Linked DNA regions of Anolis sagrei. The protein of the gene in region 1 interacts with the protein of each later gene in a pairwise test. Links are inferred from orthologs where the notes say so. Each region holds a gene or a part of one and is shown in the gene's direction. Other genes may lie near its edges.

Region 1 (10,028 bases):
CTTGCAACTCCTTTTCATCTGCAAAATCTTATGTGACCCTAGCTTATACATGTGTATGTATGTGTGTGTATATATATCTATATCTCTATATATCCATATACTTTATTTGCCCAGGATAAGAGGAAAGGTGGTATATGAATGAAGAAATCATCATCATCTCTACATGCTTGTATACATACAGTTGGTCCTTCATATCTGTGGATTCGGAATTCATTGATTCAACCATCCATATATTCCCACAAAAGAACATTACAAAAAGCAAACCTTGATTTTGCCATTTTGTACAAGGGACGCAACTTTATTACACCATTGTATAACATGAGACTTGAGCACCCATGAATTTTGATATCCATTGGGGGTTCTGGAACCAAACTCCAGTGGATACTACGGGCCCATTGTACCGTCAAGCTAGGTGCAATCCATCTAGTATTTGTGCATCTGTATAATGTAGGATGGAACCACAGAAGTCAAAGTGGCATCAAACTGCTATAACGATGCAATGTGGAGAAAGTCCAGGCTAAATGCCATTTTTGGAAGAAGACAGAGGTAAAGTTATTGAGTTAAACACCTCTTAGTATTATGCCATCGTCTTCATGCTGTGTACTTAAACCAGCTTTTTCTTCTTGTTCTAAACACAGCTGGAAAATCCCTTTTAGTATTTTGACACTTCTTGCATGCCTGAGCTAACTCTGAATGCTATGTATTGCTGAAGGCTTTCATGGCTGGAATTACTGGGTTGTTGTAGGATTTTCAGGCTATATGGCCATGTTCTAGAAGCATTCTCTCCTGACATTTCGCCTGCATCTATGACAAGCATCCTCAGAGGTTGTGAGCCCGAAAATCTGAATGCTATATTTGTTTGTACATCCATTCATTTCTCCATCCAGTCTTTATCCCACCATGACATTCAGGACAGCTTACAAACATGTAAAAGTACAGAACAACCTTAAAACCCCCAAGCTAATACGAATGTTAAAACACAATTAAAACAACTTCTATAATTCAAATATTAGCTTTCTTGATTATCTCACTACAAACATTGGCCAGTTCTCTTTACTCTTCCTGTGTGTTTCTTAAACACATTTCATTTCTTTAGTGTCTCCTTTATTTTTTAAATGAATTGTTTACAATTGAAATTTTAATGTCTCACTTGAAAAAAAACTACATGAACTTTTTCGTGTTTTAACTTCACTCATATTGAAATCTTACTCATATTGAAACAGGATTTTTGAAGTCCAAAGTGCACTTCTGATTATACTGGTGGTCACTTCTATCCATCTGACCAATTATTCCCTACTGGTTGTGGCATGTCACGAGTAGTCCTTGCTTGTTTGTAACATACAGGCAGACTCAATTCTGGAAACAAGGTGCTCAAAGCATAATAAACTTTATTTAAAATAACAAGAGTTGCTAATCATACAAATGACATTGTTAGATATGAAAAATAAGTGACTGCACAATACATGTATAGGTAAAGCAATTTAAATATTCAATGGGCTTTCATCCCATGTATCAATACACAACGCTAGTTCCTTTTGCATGGGTTTTCTCCCCATTGGCTCTTAAACCAAAGTATTCCAGACACCTCTTTACCCCACTCTCTCATAAGAACAGCCTTAAAGCTGTTTTGCCAATTCTACATTGAACCACCATAAAGCAAAGGTGTCACTATCTTAGCCACCCATGCAGACAATTTCAAGATTTTGAGTAGTTTAGATTTTGAAATTCCAGATAAGGAACACTCAATTTCTACTTGTCATACTATTCTCCCAAACATAGTTTGCCCCCCCAAATTGTATATGATTTAAAGACCTGAGTAGGATTTCCAGATTGCTAGCAAAATATTTCTGCCAACTCTCTTTTGTCAACAAAACCTGTGAAGGTTTGGAGGAGAAGAAAAGATGAATACTAAACTAGCAGCCAACACAAATCTAAGTAATTTAGTGTATTGTTGAAGGCTTTCATGGCTGGGATCACTGGGTTGCTGTAGGTTTTTCAGGTTGTATGGCCATGTTCTAGAAGCATTCTCTCCTGATGTTTTGCCTGCACCTGTGGCAGGCATCCTCAGAGGTTGTGAGGTTTGTTGCTAACTAGGAACATAGGGTTTATATATCTGTGGAAGGTCCAGGGGGAGAAAGAACTTTTGTCTGTTGGAGCTAGGCGTGAATGTTTCGATTAGCCACCTTGATTAGCATTTGATGGCCTGGCAGCTTTTAGGTGTGGCTTGTTTCTGCCTGGGAAATTTCCTTGTTGAGAAGTGACCAGGTGTTCCTGATTGTTTCCTGGCTGGAGTTTCCCTGCGTTTGAGTTTTGTTTTTTATTTACTGTTATAATTTTAGAGTTTTTTAGTACTGGCTACCAGTATATAAACCCAATTTTCCAGTTTCCAACAAACCTCACAACCTCTAAGGATGAGAGAATTCTTCTAGAACATGGCCCTACAACCCCAAAAACCTACAACAACTAAGTAATTTAGTATTTTAGAACTTGTAAGAGGAGCAATCAGAATGGGAAGTTTATTAAAGTTAAAATGTTTTTACTTACTACTGATCCCATCACTCCAGATACTCGTTCTCAACTCTACAAACTCTGATCAAGTCTCCTTTTTGAAACTGGTTAGAAAACTTGTTCGGATTCTTTGTTTGTTCCCTCTAATACCAGAATAATTGTTCCATGCCTGTCATCTAGACAGTGAACCAGGCACACCACATGCCAAATAATGTTTGTACATAAGTTTAAAAGAAAAGACAAGCTTCTGCGAACAGCTTGATGAGATTCAGCATGCTCATTGCTCTCTATAAAGCACTGTTGGTGAGGGAGAAAAATAGCCCATTTGTTGGAACAGCGTATGACATCCTAGAAAGAACGGGCATTAAATGGAGCCCCTGGTGGTGCAATGGGTTAAACCCTTGCACTGGCAGGACTGCAGACCGAAAAAGGTCAGCAGTTCGAATCCAGGGAGCTGAGTGAGCTCCTGTCTGTCAGCTCCAGCTTCTTATCTTGGACATGAGAGAAATCTCCCACAGGATGGTAAAACATCCGGGTGCTCCCTGGACAATGTCCTTGCAGACAGCCAATTCTCTCACACCAGAAGCAATTTGCAGTTTCTCATGTCGCACCTGACATGATTGTTCATTCGTTCAGTTGTCTCCGACTCTTTGTGACCTCATGGACCAGCCCACGCCAGAGCTCCCTGTCGGCCGTCACCACCCCCAGCTCCTTCAAGGTCAGTCCAGTCACTTCAAGGATGCCATCCATCCATCTTGCCCTTGGTTGGCCCCTCTTCCTTTTACCTTCCACTTTCCCCAGCATAATTGTCTTCTCTAGGCTTTGCTGTCTCCTCATGATGTGGCCAAAGTACTTCAACTTTGTCTCTAGTATCCTTCCCTCCAATGAGCAATCTGGCTTTATTTCCTAGGGGATGGACTGGTTGGATCTTCTCGCGGTCCAAGGCACTCTCAGAACTTTCCTCCAACACCACAGCTCAAAAACATCTCTCTTCCTTCGCTCAGCCTTCCCTAAGGTCCAGCTCTCACATCCGTAGGTTACTACAGGGAATACCATGATAAAAATATAAACATTAATTGAAGTTCAATATTTGTTTTCTCACTTTAAATACACAGCTATTATCAAAAATATTTTAATCTGTTCGTTAGAATAAACTACATGTCTTTCACAAATTGGTTAAAAATAAGTGGAATGAATGTGAAGTTAAATATTTCAATGCTTTTTCTCTAGCAACAACTAAAATTCACAATCTTTCCGAACTGTTATTTTTATATCATGTTACTCCACTAAAGTAGGGGTTGGAAAAAAGACTTCCCAGGATCAATTGTCCCTCAAAATGACCCCACAGGAAGATTTGGGTTTGTGGAAAGTATTTTTACCATGTTTGGAGCTCCCTCTTGGAATCCCCGCAATCAAAACAAATGTTTGCCAAATATCTCCATTCTTTCCCCACGTAAAATTACCCACAATGCTCTTGAGGGGTCCAAGGAACCCCACATATTTTTCAAGAGTAAGTGGGAGGTTTAGGCTCTTGGAGACGATATGTAGACTCTAGCTTTCCACAGCTGCTTATCCCTGCACTACGCCATCTACAACAAATGTATAAAATTGGCCATTTTTTTTTTGGAAGCAACAGTTTCTAAAAACAGTTACGTTTACCAAAAAGGGAGGTTGAGAATATCAAACATTGTACTACATTATGGTTCTTTTCATTCTAAAATAATAAAATTATAAATATAATAAATTGTATATACATATAATATTTATAATATTATAATGTAATGCAATATAATAATAATAATAATAATACATTATTATTATTATTATTATATATTTATATTACATGTAATATTACTAATAATATTACGATATAGTGGTATGGTGCAATATAGCAATGTTTAATACTGATATTGTACTATGCTAATAATCTAATATATTATATGTAACATATACCTTGTAAGCCGCTCTGAGTCCCCTTCGGGGTGAGAAGGGCGACATATAAATGTCATAAATAAATAAATAAAACTTTTTTTTCAATTGGCTAGATGAGACAATTCCGTGGGAAAATATGGAATATTTGATGAAGCTTCATAATTATTATCCCTCCTACCTAAATAGAATATTTATAACAAATATCATGAATCCATTTTACAAAAGAACTTATTGTGTATAATGACTGAATGAAGGCAAGTTTTGGTGCAAAGGTGGTGAATGGAGAGGGACTGGTGCTTTTGGAAGGACATGGAAGGAGAGACAAAGGTCCCTTCCACACAGCCATATCACCCAGAATATCAAGACGGAAAATCCCACAATATCTGCTTTGAACTGGGTTTTCTGAGTCCACATTGCCATATATTCCAGCTCAAAGCAGATAATGTGGGATTTTATTCAGCTGTGTGGAATGGGCCAAAGTAATGTAGCTGAAAAGGGATTTAAAATCTGGTAACAGAGGGCGAGGAAGTCAATAGTTGGGAAAGGGGTTTAAGATCTGTCTGAGGCTTTGTGGTGAAAGATGAGAAAGGGAATGACAGGCGATCCATAGAATGCGTTTTGCAGTTTTTCTACTTCTGCAGGAGTTTTGAGCTCTGTCAATGTGAGTAGAGACTACTTATACAACATTTAGCCAACTTAATTGTTTTGTTCCCATGTGCATACTGTTTTTCAGGGAAAAACCATATTGAACTGTTCCTTAGTTGTGGTGTAAGAACCTATACCTATTATTTCCTTCTTATTTCTTCCTCTGGTGCACATTTTCCGTTAAAGAAGTAAAGCTCAGAAACACATCTACCTTGTTAACTGATTTCAAATAGTTAACCTGTTTGAAATAATCTGTTTTCAAATAGCACTTTATTATAGCATTTATCTAGAACTGCGGCAGGCATTATTTAACAAAGCAGTTTAGTGAAGGCAATTCTTAGGGAAGCTGGCTTGGCTTTAAACAAATTATTGGCTTTAAAATGTTTCATTTTCCAAAAGAAGAAAAAAGAACTACAAACATTGACTCGAGAATGTCTTAATCTCATGTGATTTCATTTAATTTCATTTTGTAGCCTTTATAACAGACTTAATGTTTTTCATGGTTCATTATTTTAATTGTACCGATTTCAGAGTGCTTGATTATAACTAATGCATATTGCTGATAAACTATCAAATAATATAATTTAATGTGTATTTCTTCACTTTCATGCAATAATCCAGGTCTTCGGACTTTCTTTTGAACCAATATATGCACCTAGTGGAAGGTAAAGATGGACTGCATCCCGCCGAAGGTCAAACTCAGTGATGACACCTTTGTCTTTCTAGATGGCAAGTGGGTGAATGAATCGTTTGTTCAACCAGCAATTTCCTCTTCAGCAGAAGCCCACAAGAAACACTATAGCAAGAAGATGCACAGTGACTTGACCCTCTGGGAAGAAAACAAAGCCCTCTGGGAAGAAAACAAGGCCCTCCGAGTGGAAAACAGGGCACTTCGGGAAGAGAATAAAGTACTCCAGTGTCTAAGGACACAGAACAAAGGTATTCAGGTTATCTATGATGAGAGTCTTCAACAAATGCTCCAACAGGAAAATAAGCCTTTAGTAGCTCTTTCACGCAAAGGAGGACTCCAGGGGGGTAAGGAAAACAAAGCCCTTCAATTTATCCAAGAAGAGAAAAAAGCTCTTCAAATCTTTCGGGATAAGATTTTGGCTTTGAAGGTTTTTCCTGAGGAGGAGAAGAAACTCACCCCAGTCCTTCAGAAGGAAAAGCAATCTGACCTCTTATTGGGAAAGGAACCCCTTGAGCAGGAAACAAACAATACCTCTGCATCAGCTGAGCCTGCTACAGCTGAACCAGAAACACAAGAAGACAGCAGTGCCACCTCAGAAAAAGAAAGGCAACAAACTGCCTTATCACTGTTAGAAGAAAACGAAGTACTTGAAACTGTTCAGAAACTGAACCAAATGGTATTGTTTCTCATAAAAGAGAACCACACACTTCTGGAAGATAAGCAGGCACTCCAGAATAATGAAGGAGGGAACAAAATACTTTGGGAGGAGAACAATAAACTTAAGCTCCAACAAAAGACCACCAAAGATGCTATCAGTAATATTATCGCTCAGATGGGCTTGCTGCAAGAGACGCTTAACGCCTTTGATTTAATTGAGAGTCAGTCAGAGAATACTGAATGAAGAAGCCTGTTAGTTGAACAGCTACAGGGAGATCGGATAGGTTGAATAGAAGTCCATCTACTTTCAGGAAATTATCTCCCTCCTGTGATGTAAGAGCTAATAAAGTTCTGTTGTTGATTCAAAAAGCAGTAATGACGTTTTGAATTATTAGACCTTCCTTCCAATGCCATTGGCTCACTGATAAACCAGGGCCCCAGATCAGCCCCACTCCATGGACCCTCAGGGGCAACCAAGTCCATCACCCTGATCATTTCTTTATTCTGGAGGGCAGCCAGGGCTTTGACAGGATCACCAGCAGCAAGGAATAGCCACAAGAACATCTCAGAAGGAAAGATTGATGTGATGCAGTGGTATGGGCTTTGGACTATGACTTTAGAGACAGAGTCTCAGCATGGAAACCTTTGGACAACCCTGTGACAGGTTAACATTAGGGTCACCATAAGTTGAAAACAAATTAGGGTTCTTCTACACATAAAACCCAGAAAAGTAACTGGGTTAAAAGGGATTGTTTAGCCAAAGTGCAGGCTAAAATGGGTTAACAGTTGGAAAGCACATGTTAAAAAGATTCGCTTAAAATCTGATTCCGTCTCCAAAATGTGCACTGTCTCATAACTATATATACATGTAGTCATACAAAACATTTGCTTCCCTTCCCTCCCCCCTGTGTGGACTCCTACAGCGCACATGTGCTTTTTAAAAGCCTGAAATACCCGATCAGCTGGCCATGGATACACAGGTGGCTCAAGGGAAGCACAAGTGGAAAGCAATGAGAACTCTCTGAAACTCTTTCTTTTAAACTTTATAATATTAAACAGAGCATGTACACATATGAGTTTTTACTCCATTTGATGCTTGTTTACTCCATTTGATGCTTGTTTAGAAATATAATAAACAAGGCACGATGATGTTTTCTAATTTAGAGTGAATAGAAAGTTATTTTTGCCCCTGCAGAGATGGGAAAGTATGCATGAAAAAGTGTAAATTTGTCACTGACAGATTAGGAAAAGGGTAGGTATTTGGATCTGGAAAAGTGTGCAGTCAACATCTTCAACTAAAAGGGAACAATTGAAGAAGAATATTAATTACTGATAAAAAAATAGCAAAACCAGAGGGAATATTGGGAGGGAGAATTGAGAAGCACTGCAGCATGAAATATGATGATATGCTATGGTACTATAGGAATATAAAAGTAAACACTGGAATAAAATATTGCATATGGATGATTTTGAGCAATAATGCTTTTTCTGTCTCAGGAGAAAGAAAAGGCAACCCCACTCTAAACAAATCTTGGCAAGAAACCGCCATGATAGCTTTTCCATAAAGTTGGAAGTGACTTAACGGCACACAGCAGCAAAAAATATACTTTAGAACACTGTAGAAACAGATGTTGAAATGTAACCTGCCTGTGTTTTTTCTTTCAGAATGGAAGCATGAGAATAGAGACTAACTTGACATTATTCATCTAAGCTGCTCAAATCACTTTTGTGACTGAAGAATTTTGCATCAATATAGTAAGCCCTAGGCATTTATATGAAAGGTCTGGCCCTTAACTTCACACTGAGAAAACTAAAGTGCTTTACTAGCAAGCACCAACCAATCCCTTTGCAATGCAAGAAATAAAGTGTAACAGTGTAATGCTAGAAAATGTTGCCCATATTGACTACCAATAATAAGAACAACTCGGGGCGGCTAACATGAGGCCAACCCAACAATTACAACAAAGCAAAAATAAAGCAATATACAATAATACATCAAATAAAATATAATAAAATATAGCAAAAGAAAAAACAATAATATAAGATAAACACAGGATATGACATAAAATGGAGCCCCCGGTGGCGCAGTGGGTTAAAGCACTGAGCTGCTGAGCTTGTTGATTGAAAGGTCGCAGGTTCGATTCCGGGGAGCGGCGTGAGCTTCCGCTGTCAGCCCTAGCTTCTGCCAACCTAGCAGTTCGAAAACATGCAAATGTGAGTAGATTAATAGGTACCGCTCCGGCGGGAAGGTAACGGCGCTCCATGCAGTCATGCCGGCCACATGACCTTGGAGGTGTCTACGGACAACGCTGGCTCTTCGGCTTTGAAATGGAGATGAGCACCACACCCCAGAGTCAGACATGACTGGACTTAATGTCAGGGGACTACCTCTACCTTTACCTATGACATAAAATAACAAAAATTGAACAGAGTGGGCAGGGCCAATTGTAAAGGATAAAAATTTAAAACCCTGGATTAGATAGATAGGGAAGTGTATCTGGTGGGAGGTTCAGATGGAACAACAATGGGGTTTAATTTCACTGAAGGGTGAGATAAAGTCTGTTGAAAGGCATTTTGTGCTGAATTGGTCAAGGTATGGGCATTTATTGTTCATTCCTCAAAGGCAGCCAACTCTCCACAAAGGGCAGCCAGCCCTCCACAAAAGTTGGTATCAACGGCCAAATACAACACCTTCTGAGCTCTGTGAGTGCAGCATGTTTTTGAATGAAGCAGAGAGTGTTTGAGGATTGGGGCATTAATAAAGATACCAAGATGCTTGTTTATAAAGCTGTTATCCTTCCAATGCTGTTGTATGCCTGCGAAACAAGGACCATCTACAAATGTCAATCTCAACTTCTGGAAAGATTCCATCACCAAAAAATCCTGCAAATCTCTTGGGAAGACAGGCGGACAAATGTCAGTGTTTCGGAAGAAGCGAACACCTCCAGCATCAGGTCGTTGTAGGCTTTTCAGGCTATATGGCCACGTTCTAGAAGTATTCTCTCCTGACGTTTTGCCTGCACCTATGGCAAGGCATCCTCAGAGGTTGTGAGGTCTGTTGGAACTAGGAAATTTGGGTTTATATATCTGTGGATATATAGACATATATACCCAAGATATATAAACACAAATTTCCTAGTTCCAACAGACCTCACAACCTCTGAGAATGCTTGCCATAGATGGATATAAAATTGTTTTTTATATGAATTTTATTATGTGATTTAACCTGTTTTAAACAATGTATTTATGTGTGTTCGGTATCTAATTGTTGCCAGTCTGTACGCTGCCCTGAGTCGCCATTGGGCTGAAAAGGGCGGGATAAAAGTGTGGTGGTAAATAAATGCAGATGAAACGCCAGGCGAGAATACTTCTAGAATATGAACATATAGCCTGAAAAACCTACAACAACCCAGTGATTCCAGCCATGGAAACCTTCGACAATACACAGAGAAGAGGGAGCAAGCTTGTTTTCTGCTTCCTTGGAGACTAGGACACAGAACAATGGCTTCAAACTACAAGAAAGGAGATTCCACCTGAACATTAGGAAGAACTTCCTGACTGCGAGAGCTGTTCAGCAGTGGAACTCTCTGCCCTG
Region 2 (11,372 bases), on another chromosome or scaffold:
GCTATTTATTTAATTGTCAGCACTCACTTAAGTGAATAAATGTTGATGTCCTACAAAAACAATTACTAGCATACCTTCTGGAGGGGGGTGTTATTAATCCACCTGTTTATACAGTCCAGTGTTACTTATCTGCTGCCTAATCAATCAGCTGCTCTAAAGCTGCACTGCCTGGCTATCTGAGTGACGTTCAGTAAAGAACGTCTTTCAGATAACCACATGAGATATTATTGACAAGTCTTGCTTGTGTTGACTCTTAGGTTGGGTCAAGTAATAACTTCTTCAACATATTTGAATGAACTTTGGTTTTTAATTTGAGACTTGTCCAATTCAAGTTGCATTCCTTGAAAACCACTGTTTATTAAAATCTGTTGAAGAAGTTATTACTTGCCCCAAGCTAAGAGTCAACACAGGCAAGACTTGTCAATAATACCGCATGTGAGCGCTCCAGCTGGAGGTCAGCTGTGACCAGCAGTACTGCAGAATTTGAAGAGGCACGAATGGAGGGCGAAAGAGAGAAATGTGCCAAAAGGGAGGCGCGTCAAGCCAATTCCAACTGGGACCGCCTTCCACCTGGAAACCAGTGCCCTCACTGTGGGAGACGATGCAAATCAAGAATAAGACTCCATAGTCACCTACGGATCCACCCTGGAGGATTATCCTACTCTGACAATGAGAGATCGCCTAAGTAAGTAAGGCTCCTTAGGTATTACTGACTTGCAACTCACATCACTCTTAGCTGGCATGGCCAGTGGTGAAGGATTGTGGGAGATGCAATATCAATACACTTGTAGACCCACAACTGCTCATTTCTGTTTAATAGGAAGATAATAATAATAATAATAATAATAATAATAATAATAATAATAATATTTTTAAAAACCCTTTATTTATTATCCACCCTATCTTCCCGGGAGGACTAAGGGTGGTTTTCAACAAAAGATGGCAAACATTCATTGAGCCAAGACATCAACTAGAGTTCTAGTGATTCTCCTCCTCCTCTGTTTTTTCCAATAATAATAATAATAATAATAATAATAATAATAGCTCCCATTTTTTACTTGTATTAGCAATAAAATAAAATATCTGCCTGCTCCAGGTTATCCTGCTACCATATTTGAGCAATGTATGTATATGCTGTAGCTCCCAAATGTATAATAAACCCTTAGCAATTTATAGATCTAGATTTTTATTGGTTTTTTACATTTCCCCCAAAACAGCATTTAATACTAGAGAAGTGTCCTGAAAATCACAAGATAAACTTTGAGATGGGGCTAGCAATGTGCAAGGATAATTTAAACACGTGGCATAAAACTGTAATTGAAGACTGAGTTTTTCATATTGATTGAATCATTGTCACAGGTTGACAATGTATGCAGAACAACCGAAACTTAGTCCTTTTGTATTTTCATATGAGCAACACAAGCAGAAGGAAAACATAAATTTTACTCTTCTGCAGCAGAATTCAAAAACCAGTAACATTAACACAAACTTGCAGTATTGCATCAATACAGTCACAGTCCCTCTGGAGTAACACACTCAAGTATAGTCCTTACACTTAACTCATGCAATTTTTCCCACAGAAAATATGTATCTTCCAATTTTCCTTTCTTGGACATGGAGACAAGCAGAAAAGATAAACTTGCCTGCATCAAATAAGCCAGGAGCGAACGCAGGGTAAGATCAGGAGCAAACATTCAGTAAGCCCAAAGTTGAATTACAAACACTTCCCAGTTATACCCCTTCGGGAGTGGCCTAAATTGGCTGACCTTAAAAATCCCATTCACCCAAGCTGTATATTGTAATTCACCAAGGTAAGTTTTTTTTTCTATTAACACACACACATACCTGGTAGTGATCTCACTAAAACCTACTTTAACAGTGAGTCTGTTAAAGGCTCCTCCCTAAACTACAAATCCCAGAATTCTGCAGGAATTCTTATTATCATGGGGGAAAGGGTCTCTAATGAAACTTTATCACCAATCCTTGTATCCACGAGCCACATTTTTCAAGATCCAACTATCACAGGGACAGAAAGTGAGGTGAAATCTTCTGAACGGGAACAGACAACAAAACAAATGTCATAAGGGTGTTAACGCTTCCCTATGCTATCCAAAGATAGAGAGATAAATAGATCCTGGATTTACACTTTAAAAACGTGCCAAGTTTACATACAAATTCAACTTAAGAACAAACCTACAGAACCTAACTTGAGGGCTACTTGTATATACTAGCTTTGGATAGCATAGGAAAGGGTGAACATCCCTGTGGTGTTCGTTTTGCTGTCTGTGCCCCTGATCAGAAGATTTCACCGCCTTTTCTGTCCCTCTCATAATTGAATTTGGCTTGTTGTGGAAACAAGGCTTGGGGATAAAGCTTCAGTGAAGGAACCTTTTCCCCGTGATAACTCTTCCTGAGGGAACGTTGGGAAGATTTCTCTCACTTCCTGTTGTCTCACCTCCATTCTTAACTAGGAGTATGCAAGTTGTATGTAAGTCAGATGTATGTAACTCAGGGATTACTTGTCTCCATGTTGAGACAATGGCTATGTATCACTGAGGGGATAAACAGGGGCCGAGCGACATGTCCTCCAGTGAATAAGTGCTGCCAAAAGCCCACGGCTCCCCTTCCTTCCTTCCTTCCTTCCTTCTTTCCTTCCTTTTTCCCTTCCTTCCTTCCTTTTTCTTTCTTTCTTTCCTTCTTTCTTAATTTCTTTCCTTCCTTTTTTCCTTCCTTCCTTTTTTCTTTCCTCCCGCCCTTCCTTTTTTCCTTCCTTTTTTCTTCCCTCTCGCCCTTCTTTTTCCTTCCTTCCTTTCCCCTCTTCCTTCTTTCCTCCCTCCCTCCCTCCCTTATTTCTTTCCTCCCTCCCTCCCTCCCTTCCTTCCTTCGTTTTTCCCCTTCCTTCCTTTCCCCCCACCTTTCTTTTTCCTTCCTTCCTTCCTTCCTTCCTTCCTTCCTTCCTTCCTTCCTTCCGTCCGTCCTTCCTTCCGTCCTTCCTTCTTTCTTTCCTTCCATCCTTCCCTTTTTCCATCCTCCCTCCCTCCCTCCCTGCCTTTCTTCCTTCCTTCCATCCATCTTTCCTTCCTTCCCTTTTTCCTCCCCCCTCTTCCTTTTTCCTTCCTTCCCTCCATCAGTCTTTCCTTCTATCCTTCCCTTTTTCCTCCCCCCTCTTCCTTTTTCCTTCCTTCCTTCCATCAGTCTTTCTTTCTTTCCTTCGATCTTTCTTTTTTTCCTTCCTTCCTTCCTTCCTTCCTTCCTTCCTTTTTCCTCCCTCCCTCCCTCCCTCCCTCCCTCCTTGGAGGAGCCCTGCCTCGGCTGCTCTCTGAAGAATGCTGAGAAGCGACAGTTGGAAAAAGGCGGGAAAACAGCAAAGAGGGTTGGGGATGGAAAATGGCTGGAGCTGAAGGAGAAAATCGTAGCATCACTATGGAGGGAAATGATCCCGGTGAGACTGTACAACTGGAGAAATACACAATAGAAACCTAAATACACATCATGGGAACTAGAGAAGGTATTCAGAACTGGTGGCCATATTCTCCTCCTTGGGCCCCGTCACCTGACCAGGAATTTAAAAGCTAGCAACTCCAATATAAGAGCTAAGACTTCACAGCCAGTAGGAATTGTGGGAGTTGAAGTCCAAAACACCTGGAGGGCCAAAGTTTGTCCATGCCTGAACTAGAAGGACATTATTCATTTTCACGAAAATTATAATTAAGAAGCAGGTGAACACATGTAGAAAGAGAGTTTCATATTTTGGGCACTGCCAAGTCGCTCCGGGGTACAGAAACAACTGTAGAAAACAGAGGCCCTGAAGGTGCCCTCAGTTGCTCGGGTCCTTGGAATTTAATAAAAGTATTATTGTTATGTTCATTCTTTACAGTGTGGTTCTCAGCCTCATAGCAATATGAAGTAGACCACAATTTCCAATATTACAGATGGATTGCACTGAGAAGGGCGAGCCCCCGGTGGCGCAGTGGGTTAAACTCCTGTGCCGGCAGGACTGAAGACCGACAGGTCGCAGGTTCGAATCCAGGGAGAGGCGGATGAGCTCCCTCTATCAGCTCCAGCTCCTCATGCGGGGACATGAGAGAAGCCTCCCACAAGGATGATAAAAACATCAAATCATCCAGGCGTCCCCTGGGCAACGTCCTTGCAGATGGCCAATTCTCTCACACCAGAAGCTACTTGCTCCTGTATAAGCAAAGTTATACAAAGCCTATACGATCCCTAGATTTCAATGTGTCTGGTTGAAGAAAAAATTGGGTGACAACAATAAATTCTGTTTCTGCTTTTTCTCTCTCTCCAGATCCCTGGGACTTTTCATCAAAAATGGAGGAGATACTGTCACTTGTGAAACAAATGCAGAATGGTATTTTGAACTTAGAAAGATGACGAGAGTAATGTTCAGGTGTCGGATCGTAAAGGAATGGGAAGAAGTGTTGTCCTTCATGCCAATCCCTTACTATCTGCACAGCCCATGTACACTTTTAACACTGGCTGAAATAAAATAACCGGCCACCACATCTGGGGGAAACAGGCAGCAGGCTAGCTTATGTGGCACACAGAGGATGCCATATGGTACAGGACTCTCTCCTAATGCATTGTGATGGCTTCTCTGCTTCAGCATCTGTCCCCCAAAACAGCCATCTCACTCTGCCATCTGCCTAATCATATAGTCCTACTAGAGCATCTGCCCTTGCCATGTATGCCTGTACACTGGTAAGAGGCAACTCATTTAGCCCAAGAGACTCATACAAACATCATGTTGCATCATTTATCTTGTGCTTCACGGACAACATACACCACTTTGTGCATGGTGAATACATATATAATGACTTGAAAATTGTTTAGAAGTCAGCAGTGGCTAATGGGTCCCATGTGGCTCTTAGAAAATTAATGTTTGGCTTCTGAACAGAGAGCAAGAAAGCACAGATTTGAGCAGAAATCAGTAGAAGGGAAAGTGGTACGTTGTTTAGGGGCTGTGGCAAAAATATAATGGAATGGAGGCTGAGGTCAGATGAAAGTTCTTGGAAGAAAAATTAGTAGTTGATCTAGGGAGAAACAAGAAGTATGGTATAAAAATTATTAGAGTTTTATTTATATTGCTTGTGATAAGGATTCTGAGTTAGATACTGGCCCTTGATAAATAACATACAATTATATGTGAGGGCAAGATCAGAGTATTTTTCTATTAGCCATTATAGTTGTCTTAGGAAGTAGGTGCTATAAGGTAAAGAGTTTCATCACAATGTTGGGAGGACAGAGCTTTAGAGTCCAGGCACTCTGTGGCTAGCACTGCTCATGCTAGCCTGGTACCTTCATGTGTGGTGAAGGATGTCATTACATTGCAAGTGCCAAAGATTTTACTGGGTTATTGTAGGTTTTTTTGGGCTATAGCCATGTTCTAGAGGCATTCCCTCCTTACGTTTCGCCTGCATCTATGGCAAGCATCCTCACTACCTCTGAGGATGCTTGCCATAGATGCAGGCAAAACGTCAGGAGAGAATGCCTCTAGAATATGGCCATGTAGCCCAAATAAACCTACAACAACCCAGTGATTCCGGCCATGAAAGCCTTAGACTATACAAAGATGTTACTATCTGTTTGATTGGCCGTTGTACCTGGAAGGAAGATGTGTGTCATTGTTCCTTTCACCTCAGTTGGCAAAGTGACTTTGACATTGAGATTGGTACAAACTGTAACTTTTAATGTATTTTAATGTATTGCTTTTTCCTTAACCATAGCATGTATAATTCAGTTTTCATTTGATTTCTACTTGATTTTATAGTCGAGAGTTTGGAGCCAAGAATTGAAGACCTAGTTAAAAGGATCAATACATTGCAGCAAGGTAAAAGAAAAAGGCAGGGATTAACTATATTATTTACATCTCAAAATTAAGCCTTTGCTAAGTAAGCTATATTTGTAGCAGTGGTTACCAGGTCTGCACATCGCGATGGCTCTTGCAGTGCAAAAGCTGAATGTTCCCAGATGTGGTTTCCAAAAAGAGAGTAATCTGCAATCCTTATGCCATTCCCCCATTTTAAAGAAAGAAGCAAAACCAACATTTTGAGGTATCTCTTCTTACTCCTGTTCCATTCCTGAATGCATAGTTTCCTCCCATCTCCTCCTACACACATATGTTATAACTCAATGAGGATCATATTTGTAATTAATATTTTTCTAGTCTCTGTTCCCTTATTCAAATTATACTGAATAGACTTTATAGTAAGGATAGATAAAGCATAGCCCTGGATGGCCCTCCTGCATGATTGTACATAATATCCCCAGTCAATTTTTTCAGATGTGGACTTCTTCAGACTTTTTCAGATTGCAACTTCTGTGGGGGAAGGAGCATTTTTGAAATGGCTGTGGCCTTCAAAGGATCTTGTAGTGGAGAAGAAATTTGGTTCCCAAATTCGCATCAGTTGCTAACTATTGTTTAAACATTTGCCTTTTCTTATCCAAGGGATAAGAACAGCCAAATTAGCACAGTGCTGCGCGTTTTGTTGCATAACATTATTTCACCCACAATTTTTTTTTAAAGCAACACCCTGTCTTCAGTATCCATGACATGAGTCCCTAAAACATGCTCAAACTGGTTGGTTTGAACAGTGTTTCTGAAAACTAAAGGTTCAGCTTTACTTAGATAAAGGCTGACCTGTCTATTCTGCAAATGTCCTACCTTGGGAACCAATATGTTTCACCCCAGAGAAGAAAGAGATTTGTAACTGGCCTTTGTATTTTCAGAAATGGAGACTGGCTCGTTGGATCTTTATTTCAGTATGCATTGCTAGGTGCAAACTGCATCTCTACCAGTGTTTAATTCAGTCTGAAGTCGTCATCTCTGGATTTCTCTTTATCTGTAAATTGCTACAATGTCTGGCTTGCTTATTTGTTTGATTTTGCATTTAAATAGTAAGTTTAAGATCTATTTTGAACATTAACATTCATAATGCTAATTCTGAGCATTTAAAAAACTGAACATTATCAGTTAACCTATCAGTGCAGTATGTAAATGTGGAATGGTGCAATGACAAGTGGAACAGCCTGGACTATGATATTGGATTATGCAATTTTAATAATTTTAAATGTTGAAATGTTTTAGTGGTTTTTTAATGTAGATGTTTTATTTGCCGGATATATGTTGTATGGCGTTGAATTGTGCCTCTATGTGCGCTTCTTTGAGTCCCCTTTGGGGTGAGAAGGGGAGATATAAATATGGCAAATAAATAAAAATAAAAATAAACCCTTTTTAAAATGTATGTATTTTTCCAGCCAAGAAGTTATTAAGTGAGGAGCTTTCCAAGGCAAATGAACATAGCAAGTCATTGCAGAGGGAACTGGAAAAATGTAGGTAATGATAATGCAACATTATGTGATGACAGTGTGTGGGATCTGTAAAATATAAGGGTCCTCTATTCTTCACATACCCTACATGCTATTATCTTGTTTTATTATAAATCTCTTTGCGTTCTTGTTCACTGGAGCTATTAGATTAATAACTCATGTGTTTTTTTGTACTCATATATTTAAGACTCTGTCTTAATTCATTTGTAACAAGGAAGTACTTGCTCTTTGTGATACAGTTTAAAACTGAACGTTTTGCTCTAGTATATACAAACATTCCTTTTCAAACGATCACTGATTTGAGAATCATTCCACTGCACTGTTTCTTGTAGCAATCAATACTTTTCCTTTAATTTTTCCTATGGGGGACTAGGTGCCGGGGCAATTTTTAAACGTGGGTCTGGTCTTTTAAGTGTTGCAGATATTTTAAGTTTTTATTGCTCAGACACCATGCTGTAGTCTGAAATCGTTATGGAAATATATGCCAGTGCTTGCTGCTGGTATCAGTTGTCATATTTCACAAGTTTTGTCCTTTTCCACCAGCAGTATTTCATAACTATGTGTTTTAGGATGTAATCCTTAAATTACCTTTAATTACTTTTTTTCCTTTTCTTCACTGAACATACAACAATCTTCTTCATGTTATTTTTGCAACACTAATGCTGGAAGTAATGTCACACTGATTGAGAATGACTGACCCAAGATCTCCCAGTGGGCTTAATGGCTCAGTGGGGATCAGAACATAGATCTCCCAAGGCTCAATCCAGTAGTAATCATGGTACCACCTGTCTGTCACCTGGAAACATGTCCCTATTTTAGTCCTGTGGTACTTACTTCTGAATTGACATATATAATTGCAGTCCTACCATGTTTGGCTCTAGGTATGTTGTCACTTTTCTTGGCCTAATGCCCCCAGTCAGCCTCAGAGCTTGTGATGTCTGACTGTTCATGAACCATGTTAAAACATGCACAGTAAAATTACATCATTATGCTAATAACTCCCAATGTGGTGCATCTTAATTATGCTCAAGAGAGATACACTATGACTTTACCAAATCAAACTACTGTGATTATTGTTGCAGTGTAGTGGTGCAGGACAGTCTTGAGATGAGATCACTCCTTCCATTTGTTGTTGTAGGAAAAAAATATTCATATTGGGCTGAACAGCTTTCCCTTGTGATACCTATTTTTCTTTTCTATCTCAAGACATACCCTCCAGCTGTCCTGATTTGGCAGGAACAGTGCTGATTATCTGTTTTCTCACATTTCCAGATGCTTTAAAAATTGATTTCTCTCTCTTTCTCCTACTTTCCTCATTTGTCCTCACTTTTCTCCATTTGCTGCAAAGTAAGCTGAAAATGAAGAAGTCATTTGTCCTTAATTAACTCAGCAGCAGGAGAGGAGAGGGCAAAATCTTGCCCTTCTCTGTAGGCTTAGGCAAAAGCAACCTGCTACAGTTTCTCCTAGCATTATGCATTCTTCTTCGTTAATAATTTTTCATATCTTGCCTCCGTTTATTTAACCAATTGTGTCCTGGTTTGCCTCAGCGAATTATTGGAAGGTATGTAGGAATGGTTCCAGAAAGGTCCCCCCCCCCACAAATATTTTGTCTTTTCAATTTCACACCTTTTATTGAGTACATTTTCATCTGTTGTTTTTTTAAAGGTCACTTTCAAAGAGCCTACATAATAACATTGCCAATAACTGTTCTTTCCAACTGTGCATAAAAGCACCACCTGGGGCCTCTTGCGCTTTCCTGCCTTGTAATATTATAAAGCTAGTAGCTGAGTGAGTTCTTCTCTTTCTCTTGTAGTAAATGCTGAAAAGTCATCCCTTGAGGAAATATGGAATGAGAAGAAAGGTAACGGCAAGACTGAGGACATTTATTTCAAAACTTCAGCAGGATCCATTTTGTACAAATCCAAAGCATAGCATTTAACCAGTACATTTTTTTTACAGCAAGTCGGTTTTCTCAGCATTGGAATTGATATAATCTGCAAATCCCAAAACATTTCCTCCAGAAAATGGATAGTTATTACTCTGCTTGTGGAATGAAATGTCGGCCTGAGTACATTCTGTTGATACCTACTGGGTCTTGCTTGTTGCATTGTTAGAGCAATGCACTTCTACCTCTCCTTAGTCCCTGTGCATCTCCTTTCCCTCTCCTTTCTTGTACATCTCCTTTGCAATTTATTTTTTAAAACTTCCTGGATGTGCTATTCTGCAACCCTTGTTTATCAACAACATCCTTGTGGTATCCCTAGTATTCCATTTCCATACTATCTATTTTTGTAAACATCTCACCCTTTAAAATCTTTAATTGTCTTTCAATATCTCTGTGCTTTTCTGATGTTCTTTCTAGAGACCCGAAAAGTTTTGCAATTTCACTGTGAAGAGACAGAAATCAAGAGGCAATGGTGAGCAATGTGGTTCATTAGGTTAAAAATAAAATATTGGAGGGTTTTTTTTTTGTCTTTGATTTGCTCATCTTACATGCCAAGTTTTAATTTTCAAGAATTCTTAAAAATGTATTATGATGAATAGAAAACGGCACTACTTTGGGAGGAAATAACATTAAATGCAGATGAGTAAACCTAAAATTACTGTAATATTGCAGTTGTCACAAAATTTGTCTGTTACATTTAGAGTCTAAATACTTGGTTACATAAAATGCATTTTTCTACCCACCTAAAAACTATATCTGATGTATAGTGGAATATTTCAAAAACACCCCAGGACCACACTGTACAGCATTTGATGTTTCTTCGGCAATAGTGTCTGAAATATATTTGCTATGTTGGCCATGCAACCAAATATAACAAAATACAAAATCCACACAACAATGCCTATTTTGCTAAATGATCAACATCCCTGAATATTTTTCCTTAAGTTATTTTACTTCTGTCTTGATATTGAGAATCTTTTAGAACAGGGAAATCTACATAGAAAAGATTAAAATAAACTGATCAAGGAATACCAGTATATCTTTTTATACAAAGTGTCACAGCTGCAACCAGAGCTGCAGTAGACAAGGAAACCTGGCTGACATTATTTCAGGGCCAGTCCTGCTGCCAAGCTAAATTCATCTAAAATATTTATAACTCAGCATTCATATATGCTGCATAGTCGAGAGGGACTATTAATTACCATAAAGTAATTAGTAAAGCTTCTTTTGAAACTTTGTGTTGTCTTGTGTACCAGGCAACAGAAATTGAACCGAGAGTGTAAGCAGCGGATTGAGGCAGTCACAGCTAAGATCCAGGCAGAGAAACGGAAGCAAAGCAAACAGAGGTATTTCCTAGAAACACGGACTTTTGTTACAAATGTGGTGTGTGCACCATCACCTGATTCACTTTTTTAAGAGTATTATAATATTCAGATTCATCAAAAGACTCTGCAAGTGATATCTGCCCTGATAGTCACTCCACATATATACTTGTATGCTTCAGTTCAGTTGTTAACCCCTACTAGTAGAGACCAATTGAATATAAAGAAATTATATGTTGATTTACCTATTGATTTCATGGGTCATACTCCAGTCGAGACTAATAATTAAATTTAGACCCAGTCGTATAGATACAAGAAGTAATAATGATCTCTAGTGTAAGTAATCATTAAATGGGGGTTTCATGTAAATTGGCTATCACTTCTTATCAGCTATGACATATCTATGCTATCTGTTTTCAGAATACAGATTGGAGGGGTTACTTGTTCAGACCACAATTCTCAGAATTGCCCAGCCAGTATGACTAATGGTTCTTTCAATTTCCTTCTACATGCCAACTTCTCAAGGACATGTATTAATGCCTGCTGTAGGAAAAGTTATGCTCTTGGCCATAGTATAACATTATTTTTCTGGCTATGAGAATGTGCAACACTCTTAGCAACATTTTTACTTCTACTTCTATCCTATTTTTTCCTACTTTCAGAATGGAATTTGAGCAGCTTCTTGAGGAGTTAATGGAGAAGCACAAGAGGCTTTGGGAACTTTATGTAAGAACAAGATTCTTATTTTTGTATTGATCTAT

What was found.
Region 2: the proteins of CBY2 (region 1) and synaptonemal complex central element protein 1-like interact in binary tests that used the Homo sapiens proteins (3 or more experiments, as listed by UniProt). The two-hybrid records come from large-scale screens. The link is inferred for Anolis sagrei from reciprocal best matches to the Homo sapiens genes CBY2 and SYCE1.

Annotation. Positions count from the first base shown.
Region 1 is NC_090023.1:141,535,184-141,545,211, reverse strand, and holds CBY2 (protein chibby homolog 2), read left to right. Parts: upstream 1-5,710; 5' UTR 5,711-5,756; coding exon 5,757-6,677; 3' UTR 6,678-6,766; downstream 6,767-10,028.
Region 2 is NC_090022.1:193,716,364-193,727,735, forward strand, and holds the start of synaptonemal complex central element protein 1-like, read left to right. Parts: upstream 1-3,325; 5' UTR 3,326-3,387; coding exon 3,388-3,442; intron 3,443-4,303; coding exon 4,304-4,366; intron 4,367-5,785; coding exon 5,786-5,845; intron 5,846-7,272; coding exon 7,273-7,347; intron 7,348-9,157; coding exon 9,158-9,205; intron 9,206-9,706; coding exon 9,707-9,761; intron 9,762-10,545; coding exon 10,546-10,635; intron 10,636-11,273; coding exon 11,274-11,337; intron 11,338-11,372. UniProt on the Homo sapiens protein: Major component of the transverse central element of synaptonemal complexes (SCS), formed between homologous chromosomes during meiotic prophase. Requires SYCP1 in order to be incorporated into the central element.